Linked DNA regions of Struthio camelus. The protein of the gene in region 1 purifies or fractionates together with the protein of each later gene. This does not show direct contact. Links are inferred from orthologs where the notes say so. Each region holds a gene or a part of one and is shown in the gene's direction. Other genes may lie near its edges.

Region 1 (7,587 bases):
AGGAGTCAGGCTGACACCTAATCATAGAAACTTAAACTAAGGCGTAAAACACAACTTAGATTATATTAAGTGAAGACAAAGTTAAGTACTCTTAAGTCATTCTTCTCTTAACTCTAACCTTAAAAGGCTTTAGCATCTTTGCAGGGGAAAATAAAATTAAAGTGAATAGGGCCCTTACCCCAAAAGGCAAAGGAACAGATATAACCTAGAGAATGCTTTCTTTTTCCTGTGGGGTTTTAGGAGCCTTTATGGGTATGAAAATTATTAAACTGTACTTCTTTTTTAAGATCTTAGTTCAGTTCTTAGTGTGTCATAAGTTTTAGTACCTTCATGGAAATCATATTGTGTCACAGAGATTATCTTCATCTTAAAGATCTTGTCAAACACTTCAGAATGGTACCAAACAATTACAATTTTTGTAAATTTACTGGAACTGTCATCTGAATTGCCCTTTTATAAGGCCTGTTGCTCCCACTACTGAAGTATGATTTAAGTAGAAAGAGCATCTCTTCTAGACTCTTTTGCTAATTAAGCACATAATCTGGTTTGAAAAAAAAAAAAAAAAAAAGCCAAGTCCTCTCTTTTGTTGTTGCTTTCAGTGGAACCAAGTCACTGGCTGGGAGCAGGGTTTGCATTCAGACTGCCTGTCATTTGTTACAGGGAAGTGTCATCGCATTGGAGGAAATTTCAGATCAATTATTGATCAATGAAAACACAGAAAATACTAAGGTAGTAGAAAAGATTTTGTTACTAAATATTCTTATTTTAACACTGAAAAGATATTTCACTGCAACTCTTGAAGCATGATTTCAAAAAGCTCATCATAGTACCTGAAATTATAGTATGAAATGCATGGACTTCTGTAAGTATAATTTTTTCATTTTGCCCTGCCAGCTTTGTCTTTCATTTAGTCTATTTATGTTTTTATATATCTCAAACCATTGCAGTCCCAGAACACATTGCCTATCACTTTGACATACAGGAGCATTGTAAATGTTAAAATACTGAATGCTTGCATGTGCACTGTTAAGTAAGATCCTGCTTAGTCTCCGTTCTTCCGTGTGCTTTGTGATGTGCAGATGTTGTCTTGCACAAATCTGCAGAATCACAGCCCTACTATAAAACTAAAAGCACCACATAGGAGGAACTCTGGATTTTCACTGAAGAAGCGATATCTAATTTTTGAGTGTTACAGTGCCAATAAGTTTTAGACAGTGGCATGTAATGGAAATATGCCTCTGTGTTTTTACCTGCTAACATCAACAACCAACATTGGAGTGAGTTATCTGGATTTATTCATAGAAATCTTTGTTACACATGAAGTGGTTACAGATCATACGTAGTCCTCCTTCTGACCTGGAAAGTATGTCCCTAGCAGGGATTTTCCATTTAATCTCTTGTGTCAAACCAGAACAAGCTTTTGCACACTGTTTCTGAGGCCAGTGTAAAAGCTGTTATGAAGCCCCCTCATGAGCTCGTAAGGACTTTCAGTTCAGATCATTGATCTGGGGGATAAGGAACATCTGTTAAGGATGGCTATTTGTTGCATTGTAAATATTATGTTTGTAAATTACAACACAAAAAAAGGTAAGCAGGAGATAAAAATGAAAATATAAAAGGACGTTCTAATTCCAAACTAGATCCCTGAGCTTTTTCGGTAGGAAATTTTACCTCAATACTTTCATATGGTTTAAAATATAGTCTCCAAAATACTAACTACCTCAGGCTCACTCTACATAGCAATAATCAGGTTAAATGCATGTATGGGAAGAAAGCACATTTTTCAGGTTATTTCACTATTAATGATGTTTATTCCATCCATTTTGATATCCACTGAAATGCAGTTACTCATTTCTCTGATTGGTGTCTCTGCATTCTTGTTTAGAGCCTTTGAGGGACTTTTGGAAGGGGTTTGTCTCTGAGACAAAAGCCAATTATAAACTTGGTTTTAATAATTTTTTTAAATATTGTTATTTCCATTAATGATGTGGGACCCTAATCTCATCACTGTTACTATGACCTTTTGCAGTTTAATACAAGTACACATCCAGTGTTAATGCTAATGATGCTAGGCGTACACTGAGAAGAGACTAGACTATTGAACAGGAGTATCTATTACAATTAATGAGGAGATTTTTAATCCAAAGTTTAAGATGGATTTAATTATTGAATTTAAAATCTTCTCTCCCAAATATATGAATGAACGTAAATGTGTTCCATATTCAAGGATCTCAGTTCTCCCCAACATTTACTTTTACTGTTATTCATAAGTCACACATCTGTTAGCTAGCTGCCCTACTGGTTGTACAAACTAATGGTCTTGTCTGAGACTGCTGCATGGGATGCTTTAAAAAAAAAACCCAAAACACTACTACATATTTAAATAAATGTGAGATCCCAGATGCATCTTACATAGATGCCTTGCACTGAACAGTAGCAATATTAACAATTCTGAAGTGAGCAGAAATCTTGAATTCTGCAATCGCTTCTAAAGCATGTGTATTTCAAGCTGCGGGGATAGTTTTCATCTGTCTTTTTGATGATGGATTGCACAAGAACATTCCTAAATTTTTTTAGCTAAAGATGTTTACAGATTTAAGTTTCTGTAGAACTGAGGTAGAACTTCTGAAAAGTATACTAAATAAATATTTGAATTAAGCCTTAGCAGATCTTTCCTATCATCATTACCTAAGCCTTAATAAGAGAAGAAATTGTATGGCTTTTCTATTTTTGTGAAGAGATGAATATTCACTGTGTTGAAGTTGTAAAGACTAACTTGTTTGCAGCTTGTAACTGAAATAACCTGCAGCAGTCTTAGACTTCGACGACACCATCAAATGAAAAAAATCACTCATCTGCATTAGTTTATAATGACCATATAATGCCTAAAGGCAGAATATCGCAAAAACATTAGTATTTGGATTTACAAAGTATTTTACATATTCTGATGGTAACTGAACAATTCTGAGTTATTTATACTAGTGAGCAGACTAATACATGGTAGACAGAATACCAGCTGGAGAAATCTGTATCTGTATGGGGGAAGCTTAGCTTGAGGGGGTACAGGCCATACGCCTGTGTCTTAAAGACTGTTTCTTAAACGTGGGAAGAATAAAATAATATTAAAATAGATGGTTGTGGACCGAGCACTGGCTGTAAGGGGCGTAGAGCCCTGAGCAACAAAATCCTCTGACTTACAGCCATGCTTCCATCAATGCTCCTGGCATTTCCTTACTGCTTTTCTTTCAAAGAGGCACACGTTGGCGTGAACAATAGAAAGAAGAGCTCTGCGTATGTGCCGCGATACGAACTTCTGTGGGCAGTGAAATATACCTGCCTTTGAGGGGGTGACTGGTACTGAAACACAGCCCTGGGTGCGTGGGGCGTGTACTTCTTTAAAACAGTGTTTAGTGAAGGGTTGCAAATTAAAGAAATTTAACAGCACCAGATGAAAGGCAGTGGCTGTAATTATACAGCATTTATGATTCAGCTCACAGACACTGGGGAACACTGACCTTGAAACGAGCGTTACAACCCAGGCAGCCTTTGGGGAGGAGGCAGCCTCTGACAACGCGAATCGTGAAGTGATGCAGCGTCACATGCAAGCGCTGCTAAACTGAAATCTCATTTATCAGTTGCTGTGCGGAAAAGTTCCTAGTGATCTCTCAAGGAATTGCTTTTGTCTCTGCCATCCCCTGCACCGTTTTAAATATTGTTTTTCTGCATCATGTCTTGAACTCTCATGATTTGTTCGCTCTCCAGAACGGAAGGATATGACTGTGAATCAAGCTGAGTCAGGAAGCTGCTAAGGGTAGTAACCTTGTATCTGGGGTACATAAGGGATCCGGGGGAGGCTTTAAGGAACGGGTTTGGAATGAAGGGAGCAGTGCCTCCACTTAGCTATTCCTCAAATGCAGAAAGCAAGGCTAGACTCATTCTCCAGTTCTGGAAAGGGTTTGGTTGATGTGGACTAAATTGTTTCAGTCAGTGACGGAAAGAAGCCTTGCCTTTATCCAGCCTGATAAATGACTGATGCTGTACCACGACGGATAAGTTTGCCTGAAAAATGCCGTGCTGGAGCGCACATTTATGACTTTCCAAGGCAATTCAAGTAGATTTGCCGTCTCCCCCAGTTATTTTCCCTCAGCTGGGGATGCGTTATTAAGGTAAGCGTCGTGTCTATCACAAGCTCAAACGTGTCATACGTAAAACCCGGTGTAAACCACTGCAGCGGGACGGTGGGACGGCCCCACAGCAGCGCCGCCGCGCGCCCCCGCCCCCGCCGCGCGCCCCCGCCCCCGCCGGGCACGGCGCTGGGCGATTGGCTCGGGACCACGTGCGGGAACGCCGACATCCGCGGACTGAGCCTCGATTGGCGCGCGCGGCGCGGAGGGCGCTCCTGATTGGCTAGGGCTGCCGCCCTCCCGCTCGCTGAGGTGGTGATTCGCTCGGTCCGTTGGAGCCGCGCGCGGATTGGGCAGGGCTTCACCTGCGGAGCCTTGATTGGCTTGGGCTGAGCGGCGCGAGCGGCTGCACCTGCTGCTCGGCGCCTGCATCCCTGAGAGCGCCGAGGGGGAGGTGGTGCGCATGCGCAGCCGTGGTCGGTGATGCCCTGGGAAAGGCGGCCCGGTTTGGCTAGCGGGTCGCGGACGGGATTTCGTCGCCGGTAATTCGCCTGCCGCGGGGAGGGGGGCGTGCTGGGGCGGCCTCTACGGCGGGGGCTGGCCGTGCGCGGCGGCTGCCCCCGGGGGTTGAACAGGGGCGCGGGGGGGTCGCTCTTTTTTGGTGTCGCTGCGTTTCGTAACTAGGGCAAGGGGAGGCAGGAGGGCCGCAGGGGCGGGAGTCCCGCGGGGGGGGGGGCCGTCCTCCCTCCGCCGCCCCTCAGGGAGAGGCCGCCCCGCCGGTGCGGGCAGCGGGGCCGGCCGAGGCCGCGTGTGCCTTCCTCTTTTCTCCCCCCCCCCCCCCCCCCCGCCCCGCGCAGGGGTGCGCCTCGCGCGCCGGGCGGCCGTTACTCGCCGTTAGCCGCTCGCGACGCCAGCGTTCGGAGCGCGAGGCAGGGCCGCGGCGCCCCGCCCTCCCGGTGCGGCGGGGAGCCCCGGGGCCGCCCGACTCCGGCTGTGAGGGAGGCGGCGGAGGAGGAGCGGCGCCGCGGCGGCCGGCGCCTCCCCTCGGCCCGGTCACCGCGCGCCGCCCTGCGGCCGCAGCAGCCGCCTGCCCCGGGGGCGGCGTTGGCGGCTCCTGCCGCCGCCGTCTGCCTCAAGGTAACGGCCGCTGGGTTTTTCTCGGGCACCACCTGAACGCCCGGTGGTCGCATGAGTCGAACCTCTTAAACTTGAGGAAGAAGCGTATTCCTGGCCGTTTTACTCAGGAGAAACGTAGCAACGCAATTGCTTGAGGAGGGACTTACGCAAATGTGATATTACAGTTTGGGTTATATCTTGCTAACACACTCATCTTACCACAGCATTTTTAAGATCTATGTAAAAGATAGGAAAGTACCATTTTTCATCCCAAATAAAGGAAACTAAAACGTTCTGTAAGAGCTTGAGTGTTTTTCATGGAGGAGTTTCAGCTGGATGATGTCTGGGCAGATTCATGTGCATGTAGCTGTATGGGGAAGGAGTGAGGTGATATATGGTTATAGATGAAAGGGCAGGGGAACGCCCATCGACCTGGATGGAACTAGTATTTGACAGTGGGAAAAGCCTATGGTGGTTGATGTTGCTTGCAGGACCTTTAGACCTTTGAGTGAGCAAAGCTCTTCATGGCAATTTTCTTCACGTTCCGCTTGACAAAAGCAAATTTTGCTCTTGTAAATAGTTTAAATAGTTTTGTGAAAAAGACTCTTCAGAGTACAGTGAAAAGCACTGAAAAGTTGGTAATCCACAAAATCCTGCATTATGTTTAGTTTCTTGCATCAAAAGGAGTAACAATAGCCTTCTATGCGTGCTTTTAATCTAATAGCATGCGTAGAATATACGAAATGCCATGGTGCAGCGGTCCCCAATTGACATAGTTACGTTCTCCAGTATTCCATAGAAATTGAGTGATTTGCTGGGGAAGGGCCTTAGGAGAAAGAAATTGGTTTATAGAAATTATAGAAATTGATTCAATTTGATTACTGGTTCAGATTGATAAGGAATGAGTAATTAAAAGCATTCTTAGTTCTTAAAATTGCATACATCCAGCAGTCGTGTTCTTGCTGCATTGTTGGCCTGGCAAGGTAAGGGATCAGGCTACAAGCCCTTCCTTGGGGAGAAGGGGAAGGCAAAAAAAAGTCTTAGGATTGTACAGTAAAAAGAAATTTAATATTAAGGTATAGAACTTTCCTAACATGAGAGAATAGCGAGAGAATAATAAGAATGGGAATAGAATGATTATAGTCTTTATATCTTGTTTGGATATGGTTCTTTTTTTCTTGTAGCTAAAATCTTGAGTAAAATTGAACTAGCATTGATAGTTTGCAATGATATTTATAGTTTACAATTTTCAATTCTTCAGATAAGCAGGATGCACTTCCAGTGGGACTGGCTGTGCTTGAGTGTCCTGATAATTAGCCTAGTAACTGCAGAAATTGAAAATGAAGAAAATCGAGATACAGATGTTGAAGTGGAGGATTTTGACAAGCAGTCAGAAGATAATAATGTTGACAAAGATGAATCTTCCTTAGAGGTAAGATTATAGATGTCTTTAGTTAAATCTTGTTTAATTTTAAGATAGTTATAATTAACATAGAAATTAGTAAACAAACGCATTTTAGAAAGAGCAAATTGCACACATTTGACAGCTCACATGGGTGACAAACTCACAAAGGTGAGGTTTTTCAGTTGTTGTGTGAGACATGGAGGACAAGCTTTATGAATGACTCTACTATGTGAAAGTGGAAAATCAGATTTCCTACCTGTACTTAGATAGTCCTTAAAAAAGCCTTACTAGTCTATACTTCAGTCTGGAGCTGGAGCCTTTAGTTTTAAGTCATTCTTGGTAATATACCTTGCAGCCTAACACGCATTTATAGAGAAGAAAGCAGAAAATGTTGCTTGTGCTTATTCTCATTTTGACTTCAGAACAGGTTCTTAATTTCATCAGTCACAACTGTCTGTCTTACCTCCTCTTTATTTATTTCTTTGTTTACTCTCAGAAGATCTTTCAGCATTTGTTATGCTGTACTTCATAATAGATGTGGACACTTTTTTTCTGTTTTTAACTGCGCAGCCCAACTATTATGTGCCAAATAGAAAGGACTGTGGGGGAGAGTGACAAATCTGTATAGAAAGAAATAGGGAAGAAACAGAGAAGTGGTGCAAGTTCAGTAAACTTTCTATTTTTTGGGTTTTTTTTTTCCCCCTTTGATTTGTAATTTATCTTTGTTCCTCTAGAGCTGCTTAAATGCAGGGGTCGATTGCTGTTTTTACAAGTTTATGCAGCTATATGTTCAAACTGAGAAGAGACTTCCAAGCTCTCCATCCTATTGAAAAATGAAAGGACTGTCCGAGCATTTTCTTCTACAAACATGCTTAGTTAGCTTAGTAAAACTTAAATATCTAAATATCCTGTACTATATTTCATTTATATACTTCAAGAGTC
Region 2 (7,740 bases), on another chromosome or scaffold:
CTGGGGCAGTACGAAGGTGCACATGGGAGGTTCAGAGTTGCTTCTCCCCTCAGAACACATTTTCAATAAGCAAATACATTTGGAAGCTGCTTATTCCACATGCGTGGACTGGAAGGTGAACCGAGAGACGAACTGGGTGAGTCACAAACAGTGCCTGGAAGCCTTAAGAAAAAAAAAAAAAAAAGCGGAGCCCTCCCTGCTTTGAAGACATAGCATTCTTCTCAAATACTTAAGCAGGAACAAAATGTTCTCCTGTAAGCACACTGCCTTATGGCTTGCTTTGGGTAAAGACTTGATTGATAAAGGTGACCTTTATCAGTCACTTTCCTATTAGACCTACAATTTAAAAGGTTGCCACATGGACAGTCCTAAATTTAGGAACCGTCCCTGTTCCTGTTGGTTGCTAATGTATGGTAACACAATAGAAAAGCCTGGGAAGAACAGTGTAGCGCACTCTAGTTTATGAGAAAGACTCCAGGGCGAAGGTAGGGATGCGAGCTCATGTCTGCTCCAGCTGCCGGTCTGTGCCTGACATCCAGGAGCGGCACTCTGGGCAGTGGCACACGTCGGGGATTACAGGTACCCAAGTCTCTTTACTTGAAGGGAACCAAGATAACGGAGGGGCTGGGTCCACCGGGATCCCCTGAGACAAAGCTGCACGCCCAGCCCTGCTCATCAGGGAGCAGAAGGCCTGAGGATACGTTGTCACCTCCTGCCTGGGAAGGATTCATGGCCTCCCACTCCCTTGAGGTGTATAGTCCATGTCTTGTGGCTTTTGGTCCCCGGAGGATTTCAGAATTCAGCCTGGTGGAGGGTGGAGGAGGAGGAAGACAGGCAGGCTATCCCTGGGCAAGGGCAGAACATGCCATCTTGTAAGGAGAAGATGGCAGCAAATTGTGCGCTCGTATGGTATGCTCGAGTGGATTAGGAGGACTTGTGGTGAAGAGATGTTAAAGGGATTACAAACCGATCTGGATATTGTTACTATATAAGAAATGATACAAAAAAAAGTCATAACCCCCTTCCTATAAGTCAGGCAAAACTCTTCATGAAGTTTGTGTTCAATGTTGATTAAGTTCTATTGGTAAGGATGGTACTGCTTTATTGCTATCCTATATCTCTGAGGTAGAGACCCGGTACTTCCAGTCGTTAGGAAGACTGTAACGACATCACTGGGGCAACCAACTAACAGTTTCAGTAATCCCCGAAGTCCAGCACGTGAGAGACATCAGACTTTGAAATTCCTTGTTCTTCCCACTTCCCTAGTTAAATTCCATTGGCTCAACACTGAATCCCTGTAAAATGATAACCCTCCCTACCTGCAGGAATTTTAAAGGGCTTGAGCTGCAGTAGTTTTCTTGACCTATATTTCCTAAATTCTGATAATCCTTCCTTATTAACTAATGGCGTCTTGTGGGGGCGAGAAGGACAGAACATGGGCATGTTCCATTTTAGTATAATTGATGGTCAGCTTCCTGACTACAAATAACATCTTATTAAATGGTATTAGGGCATACGGGAAGAGAGGTACATGAAAAGAACGTTATATATAGTTATATCTAATTACTGCCTCTCTTACCAGTACTGTTTACGGTGGTCATTAAAGCATTCCATATGGTTTCCTACAGCTGAACAACTGAAAACATTTGACATATAAACAGTCTCACAGAAAATGGGGTTCAGGGCCATAGGTCAGCACTGTGGCAACTGTAGTGCCTAAGCTGTGTGTATGTTGTAAAGACTATGACACTGCAGAGTAAGGGGAGAGGAGGAAATGGCATGCAAGGATGAGAGCAACAAGGGAGACAGATGTGGATTCAGTAGGAGTCTGCTGAGTGTAGCGGAAGCCAATCCTGAGCTACAGATTTCAGTTATGCTTGTTGATAATCTGTTCTTGTGGAAGTGTCAACGCCTCCCGCCACTTAACTAATGAGATGAAACTAGCTTTCCAGCTCCAGCCGCCAGGGACCTTTGTATAGACCCTAAATCATGGTCCCTTCCGAAACTCCAAGCATAGCAAGAGGCTTTTGTGTTCTCGTTACATCTTCTTTGTGGAGCATCATAGTTTTCACATTGCCTCCATATACTCATACATACAGCTACAGCTGTACAGCTACAAATAGCTACGGCAGTTTGTTTCCTCTCGCTTCATTTTCCATTTATGGAACGCCCTTGGACAATTTCTTGCTACCTTGTTGGTTGGCCCCGTGGAACACGGTAGATAAAGTAAGATGTCATCGCTGGAGCTCATCTGGACCCTTCCCATTCAATGTGCTGCTCAGCTCACTGCAGTGGGCTGAGGCACACAAGTCCTAAGCCCTGCTCAAACAAACTAAAAACAGAAAAACAAATTCATGAAAAGATGTAAAATGATGAACTTGCTGCCATTTCAAGGATATGAAACAGAAGTTCTTGGTACGTTTTTCTTACATTTTTGTGATTTTTTTCTAGATGTTTCAAAATATTTGTTTAAACATCTGTTTCCCCTTTTCTCTCATTTTTAATTGCAACACATTCAATAAAATGAATAGTATCTAGGGACTTATCTGTTAGTGTGTGTGTGTGTATATATATATATATATATATATATATATACATTTTTTTTGTGACATTACAGCCTTTCAAAACTTCCTCAAGAAAAATTACTTCCTTCTTCTCTCCACATTTTTAACCATAAATGATTACTCATTAATTATTATTTCCTCACCACTCATTCTATTGCTTTCTGTGGCAAAAAAAGAGAAAAATTGGATGTTTACCATGCAGAGGGTAGGAGCATCCAGGATGCTCAGGAATGATGATATCAAAACACTGATTAAATTTGTATTAGTTGTTGACTTATACCACATACAGGAATGAGTGAAGTAATTAGATGCCACTTCTTGATATTTGCTACTCCCAGTCATATGTTTTAAAAATCTTAATAACACTTATCCAACAGTTTAGAACTCTGTACAGGGAAGAAGCAACTAATGGAGATGGAAGACCACGTGTCCGTACCCCAGAACAGAGATGTACTCACCACTCAGTGATGACAGTGCCTGGCTGGTGATTTTCAGGCTGGGGCGGGTGCAATAAAGTGTGAGGGGGCATAGGAAAGATCACAGATTAACAAGAATAACGTATGTAATGCATTCAACATAACTTTGCTGCTGCGTGAGCAATCGAATTAACAGCCAGTTGCAAGAAACATCATCCTGCCTCAGCTGCCTCCCGGAAAACCACCTTTCTTTCTGCCCAGTGGGAGCCACTGCAGAAACTCCTGGGCGCTCAGGCTGCTGGAGGCGAACGATGAAACACAGGGGCACCACGGCACCTGTCACCGCACCGCTCTCGCCTTCTGCTTTGCTTTCACTGACAGCTCCAAAACTTCAGGCTAGCAACGGAGTCTTTCACTTGGCTGCACGGTGGTGCCGGGGAGCGGGGAAAGGGGCTGTTGCATTTGTGGGAGTTAGACGTAAGCGTAACACTACTTTCTTCCCAACTCATGGCGAGCGTAACGTTTCAGCGACGCCCGCTCACAGGACGGGGCGGACCGCGGGGGTCAGAAGAGCCCGGCGCCGAGGTGTGGCTAGGGGAAGGACGGCGGGGGGGCCTTGGACGAGAGCTGGGCTGCGAGCGATAGCCGCGGGGCTGGACGTACCGCTGTGAAGCCTGTGGCAGCTGTTAAACGGGAGCAGGGATTTGGCCGGGTTGGGGATGGGTGCTGCTCGACTGCCGGTTGCGAGCAGGCGGGGGGGGAGGTGGGAGGTGCAGAGGGGCCGTGGCCGGGTTGCAGCCTTCCCCGGTGCCTTGGGACCGGCGAGGAAGGCGCTGCTCCTTCTCGCGTTTGTCGTCCGACAGAACGAAAAAAAGCTCAGCTGGGAGGAGGGGCTTCAGCGGCTCGCGGGGAGGGGGCAGCCTGAAGGCACCGGCGGACGAGGGGCCGGCGGCCAGAGCCCGCGCCGACAGAGAGCCGGTCGGTGCCGGAGGGGCCGGCTGGCCGCGGCGCCGGGGCTCCCGCACCGGCCCGGGCCGCAGAGCCGGCCGCCGCCACCCCCGGGTCCCGGCCGCCCCCGGGCAGCCGTTGCTGCCCGCAACGGCCCCGCGTGACGTCACAAAGGCCCCCCACCCCGCCTCGCGTGGCTCGCCGCAATGGAACGGAATGGAGCGGAGCCCCCCCTCCCCTCCCCTCCCTCCGCCCGGCGCGGCCCGCCCGCAGGCGAGCCCCGCCCCCCCGCGCGCGCCGGGCCGGGGCCGTGTGAAGCGCACCTTTTGCACGAGTCCCGCTCGCCGCGGGAGGGGAGGGAGGGGGGAAGAGAAGCCGACCGGCTCTGCCAACCGCAGCCCGCTCTGCGGCTACGTCACGCGCAGCCCCGCCCCCCCTCGCCCCGGCCCCGCCCAGCGCCGTGGTGCGGCCGCGGCCAACGGGCGGCGCTGGGGGGCGGGGGCCGGCCGTCGCGAGGGCGAGCGGGCCAATGGCGGGAGAGGCGGGGGGCGGGGGCGGGCCGGCGCCGCCGGGCGGGGGGGGCGGCGGCCAATGGGGCGCGGGCGGGGGGGCGTGGCCGTGCCGGCTCGGGTTCCGTGTGGAAAGAGTGAGGGGGCTCGGGTGCAAAGTTTGCTCGCCGAGCGGCTGCGGAGGGAGCGGCGGCGGCCGGGCCGCCGGGGGCGGGGAGGGGGCCGCGCGCGCGCTCGGGGCTCCGCCGCCGCGCCCAGGGACCGTTGGCCGCGCCAACCGCCGGCGGCGGCGGCTCCTCGCTCTCCTCGCGCCTGCTCCGCTCCGCGCCGCGCCGGCGGCCGCTGCCCCGCCGCGATGTGCGGGGGGATGGCGGCGAAGGGGCCGGGCGGGCCGCGGTGGTGGCAGAACCGGCGGGCCCGGCTGCTGTGCATGCTGGCGCTCACCTTCCTCTTCTTCGTGGTGGAGGTGGTGGTGAGCCGGGTCACGTCGTCGCTGGCCATGCTCTCCGACTCCTTCCACATGCTCTCCGATGTCATGGCCCTGGTCGTGGCGCTGGTGGCCGTGCGCTTCGCCCAGCGCACCCGCGCCACCAAGAAGAACACCTTCGGGTGGGTGCGGGCCGAGGTGATGGGCGCCCTCGTCAACGCCGTCTTCCTCACCGCCCTCTGCTTCACCATCCTGCTGGAGGCCATCGAGCGCTTCACGGAGCCCCACGAGATCCAGCAGCCGCTCGTGGTCATCGGCGTGGGGGTGGCAGGACTCATCATCAACCTGCTGGGGCTCTGCCTCTTCAACCACCACGGAGTCGGGGGCCACGGCCACGGCCACGGGCACTCGCACAGCGGCAGGCAGCACCCTCGCGGCGGCCCCAAGCCCGAGCAGCCGCCTGCGGACGGGGATGCTGCCCTGCACCGGGAGGAGACCAGCACCTTGGTGGAGAACTGCAGCAGCTCCAACGGAGTCAGCCAGGAGAAGCTAGGTAAGCCCTGTGGCACCTCTGCCCCCTCCCATTCCGCCCAGCATAGACGTGTCGGGAAAAGGGGAGAGGTCTTTTCCCCAAGGAAAGTGGTGGGCACCCCACTGCCACCTGACACAGGCTTCGTGGGAACCATCTCCTTGCTAGTAGGGGAGAGGCAAGAAAGTTTCTTGTCGGTGCTCTGGGGCTCACGATAGTTGCACCTCTACGCATTTTCTGCAAGCGCCACAAAGCCCGCCTTAAATTGTGTCCTCGTCTTGTAGACAGGGCAGCATGCAGAGGAGTCTTAGGATAACCCAGTGTGCCCTGGGAAAAGTTGATGCTGGTGGAGAAGGCGCATGACAAATGTTTCTGCCTAGCAACACAAGCTGTCACAAGACATTGCCCTAATGCCTTCTGAACTGGCTGTACATCAAATAGAGTACAGCTCAACACCTTGGTCCTGACAGTCAGATATCTCTTGAGTTGGTTATTAGCTACCTGAGAAATGTTCTCACTTTGAAGTGAAGTATACATATTGAAGTATTTTCCATTATAACAGTGTTGTGCTTCTTCAGGATAAGCTTATTAGTAGGAAGAAATCTTGGAAATGTGAGTCAGAACTGTGGAAGTCATATAATAGGTGCTGAATGTGGAGCTTGCTGGTTTCAAAGTGCAGGCATGTTTCTTTGAGTTAGTTTTCCTTTAGCTCCCTACTGCGTGCAGCTTCCCTCTCACTTGCGTGCATACATAAACTTAAAATGTCCCCAGTTCTGATCATGCTGTCTCTTCTGTGGGAGGGAATTTCTTTCATTATTTTTTAATGACTCCAAAGGCCTGGACAGTTTATTCTGAAGTCACTTGGTCAAAGCCAAGTGCTGCCTACTAGCCGAGTGAAAGGTATGTAATTACCAGTTCCCTACTTTAATCATATGACAACCCCGTTACAGCATGGAAAGGGTTTCAGTGCCCATGTTTCTCCCTTATGTTCAGGGTGATATCAGGAGACCATTGTTTTAGATTAAATTGAGCTTACTTGTACAGAGTGAACTTTGATACAGTTTTGGTATTTCTGTGGTCAGAGGCTCCATTACACATTTGAGAAACTTAGAAGTTTCTCTCTCTCTCTCCTCTCTCTGTCTTTTCTTTAGTATTTTGGCTCCATGTTGCTTTTGAAAAGTCAGATATTGAAAGAGGATAGGAAAGTTCTCCTGAATACATTACACCATTTTTCTGACTGCATAATAAGCCTCTTAATACTGTGTCGGTCGCAAGGTAGGTATCCTAATAATTAGTTTCAAACAATGTAAAATTCATTTGGCCATTAATCTAATTGATATCTAAAGTCGTGCATTGTCCTTGCATAGTGAAACCTGAGTTGTGCTTTTAGCTAAATTTTTGACTAGTTCTCTGTTAAAAGATTGAATTCTAGTATGGATTAAAGTATACATTGTGTTCGGCTAACTTCTCTGCAGTTTCTCAGGAATATAGTTCTGGCAATAGAGAATAATTTGCTGTGGGTATTTAGTATGTAATAGGACATAGTTTTGGTCATGTGTTAAATTTTCAAATAAGTGTGTATGTCCTCTAGGCCATGTCATGATTATGTTATGGATTGAGTTATTCATGGTTAACCTGTGAAAATGTTACAGGTGCTTGAAGTCTTAGGCTGTAAGATGTGTGAGTGAAGACTAGGGAAATGACTGACAGTAGCATTATGCCTTCATTGGAAATTACAAATGGGGGTAAGCCCCGTTTTCTTAAGGTTGAAGTGGAAATGGAATGATAGCCTGGGGGCTAGTACTGTGCAGGTAATCTTTATGCACACACTTTCTATAAAGTAATCAGTTTATAGTTAAATTAAAATGAGACATATTTCAAATTGACGGATTTTAACCAGTTGCCATTAAAAAAAAATCTCAAGAGCTTCCTGGAACTGTATTTCCTGTCATCCACCCCTTATGGATAGGTCTACTGACTTTCCGAATCTGCTTTGATCCAAGCACTTGGTACACTGCACAGTGTCAGAAAAGGTCGTCTTTGTTCTCATTGTGAAGCCAGAGGTCTGAACTCTGTAACCTCAGATATCTTCCTCTAATTTATTGACTTCTACTGGAAAGTTACAGGTTCTAGTGATATTTCCATATTCCATAACTTCTGGAGGTTGTATGGAAAATGTAGCTGGAGCTTTAGGACTGAAGTGTGATATACGGCGTAATGAATCTTGGGCTTGGAACGTTTCCGTTCAGCCTTCTTTGTTGTGAACCCACCTCCTCCTTAAATAAGAAACAACTTGTAGACGCTTTTATGATTACAGAACCATAGCCATGATAGCGGAGTGGCAAAA

What was found. The genes of interacting proteins can lie anywhere in the genome.
Region 2: the proteins of CLGN (region 1) and SLC30A1 purify together in Homo sapiens (co-immunoprecipitation; 3 studies listed by BioGRID and IntAct, with this or other methods). This does not show direct contact. The link is inferred for Struthio camelus from reciprocal best matches to the Homo sapiens genes CLGN and SLC30A1.

The regions. Positions count from the first base shown.
Region 1 is NC_090945.1:33,019,041-33,026,627, reverse strand, and holds the start of CLGN (calmegin), read left to right. Parts: upstream 1-4,504; 5' UTR 4,505-4,666; intron 4,667-6,501; 5' UTR 6,502-6,510; coding exon 6,511-6,672; intron 6,673-7,587. UniProt on the Homo sapiens protein: Functions during spermatogenesis as a chaperone for a range of client proteins that are important for sperm adhesion onto the egg zona pellucida and for subsequent penetration of the zona pellucida.
Region 2 is NC_090944.1:113,829,780-113,837,519, reverse strand, and holds the start of SLC30A1 (proton-coupled zinc antiporter SLC30A1), read left to right. Parts: upstream 1-4,691; 5' UTR 4,692-4,792; coding exon 4,793-5,417; intron 5,418-7,740. UniProt on the Homo sapiens protein: Zinc ion:proton antiporter that could function at the plasma membrane mediating zinc efflux from cells against its electrochemical gradient protecting them from intracellular zinc accumulation and toxicity.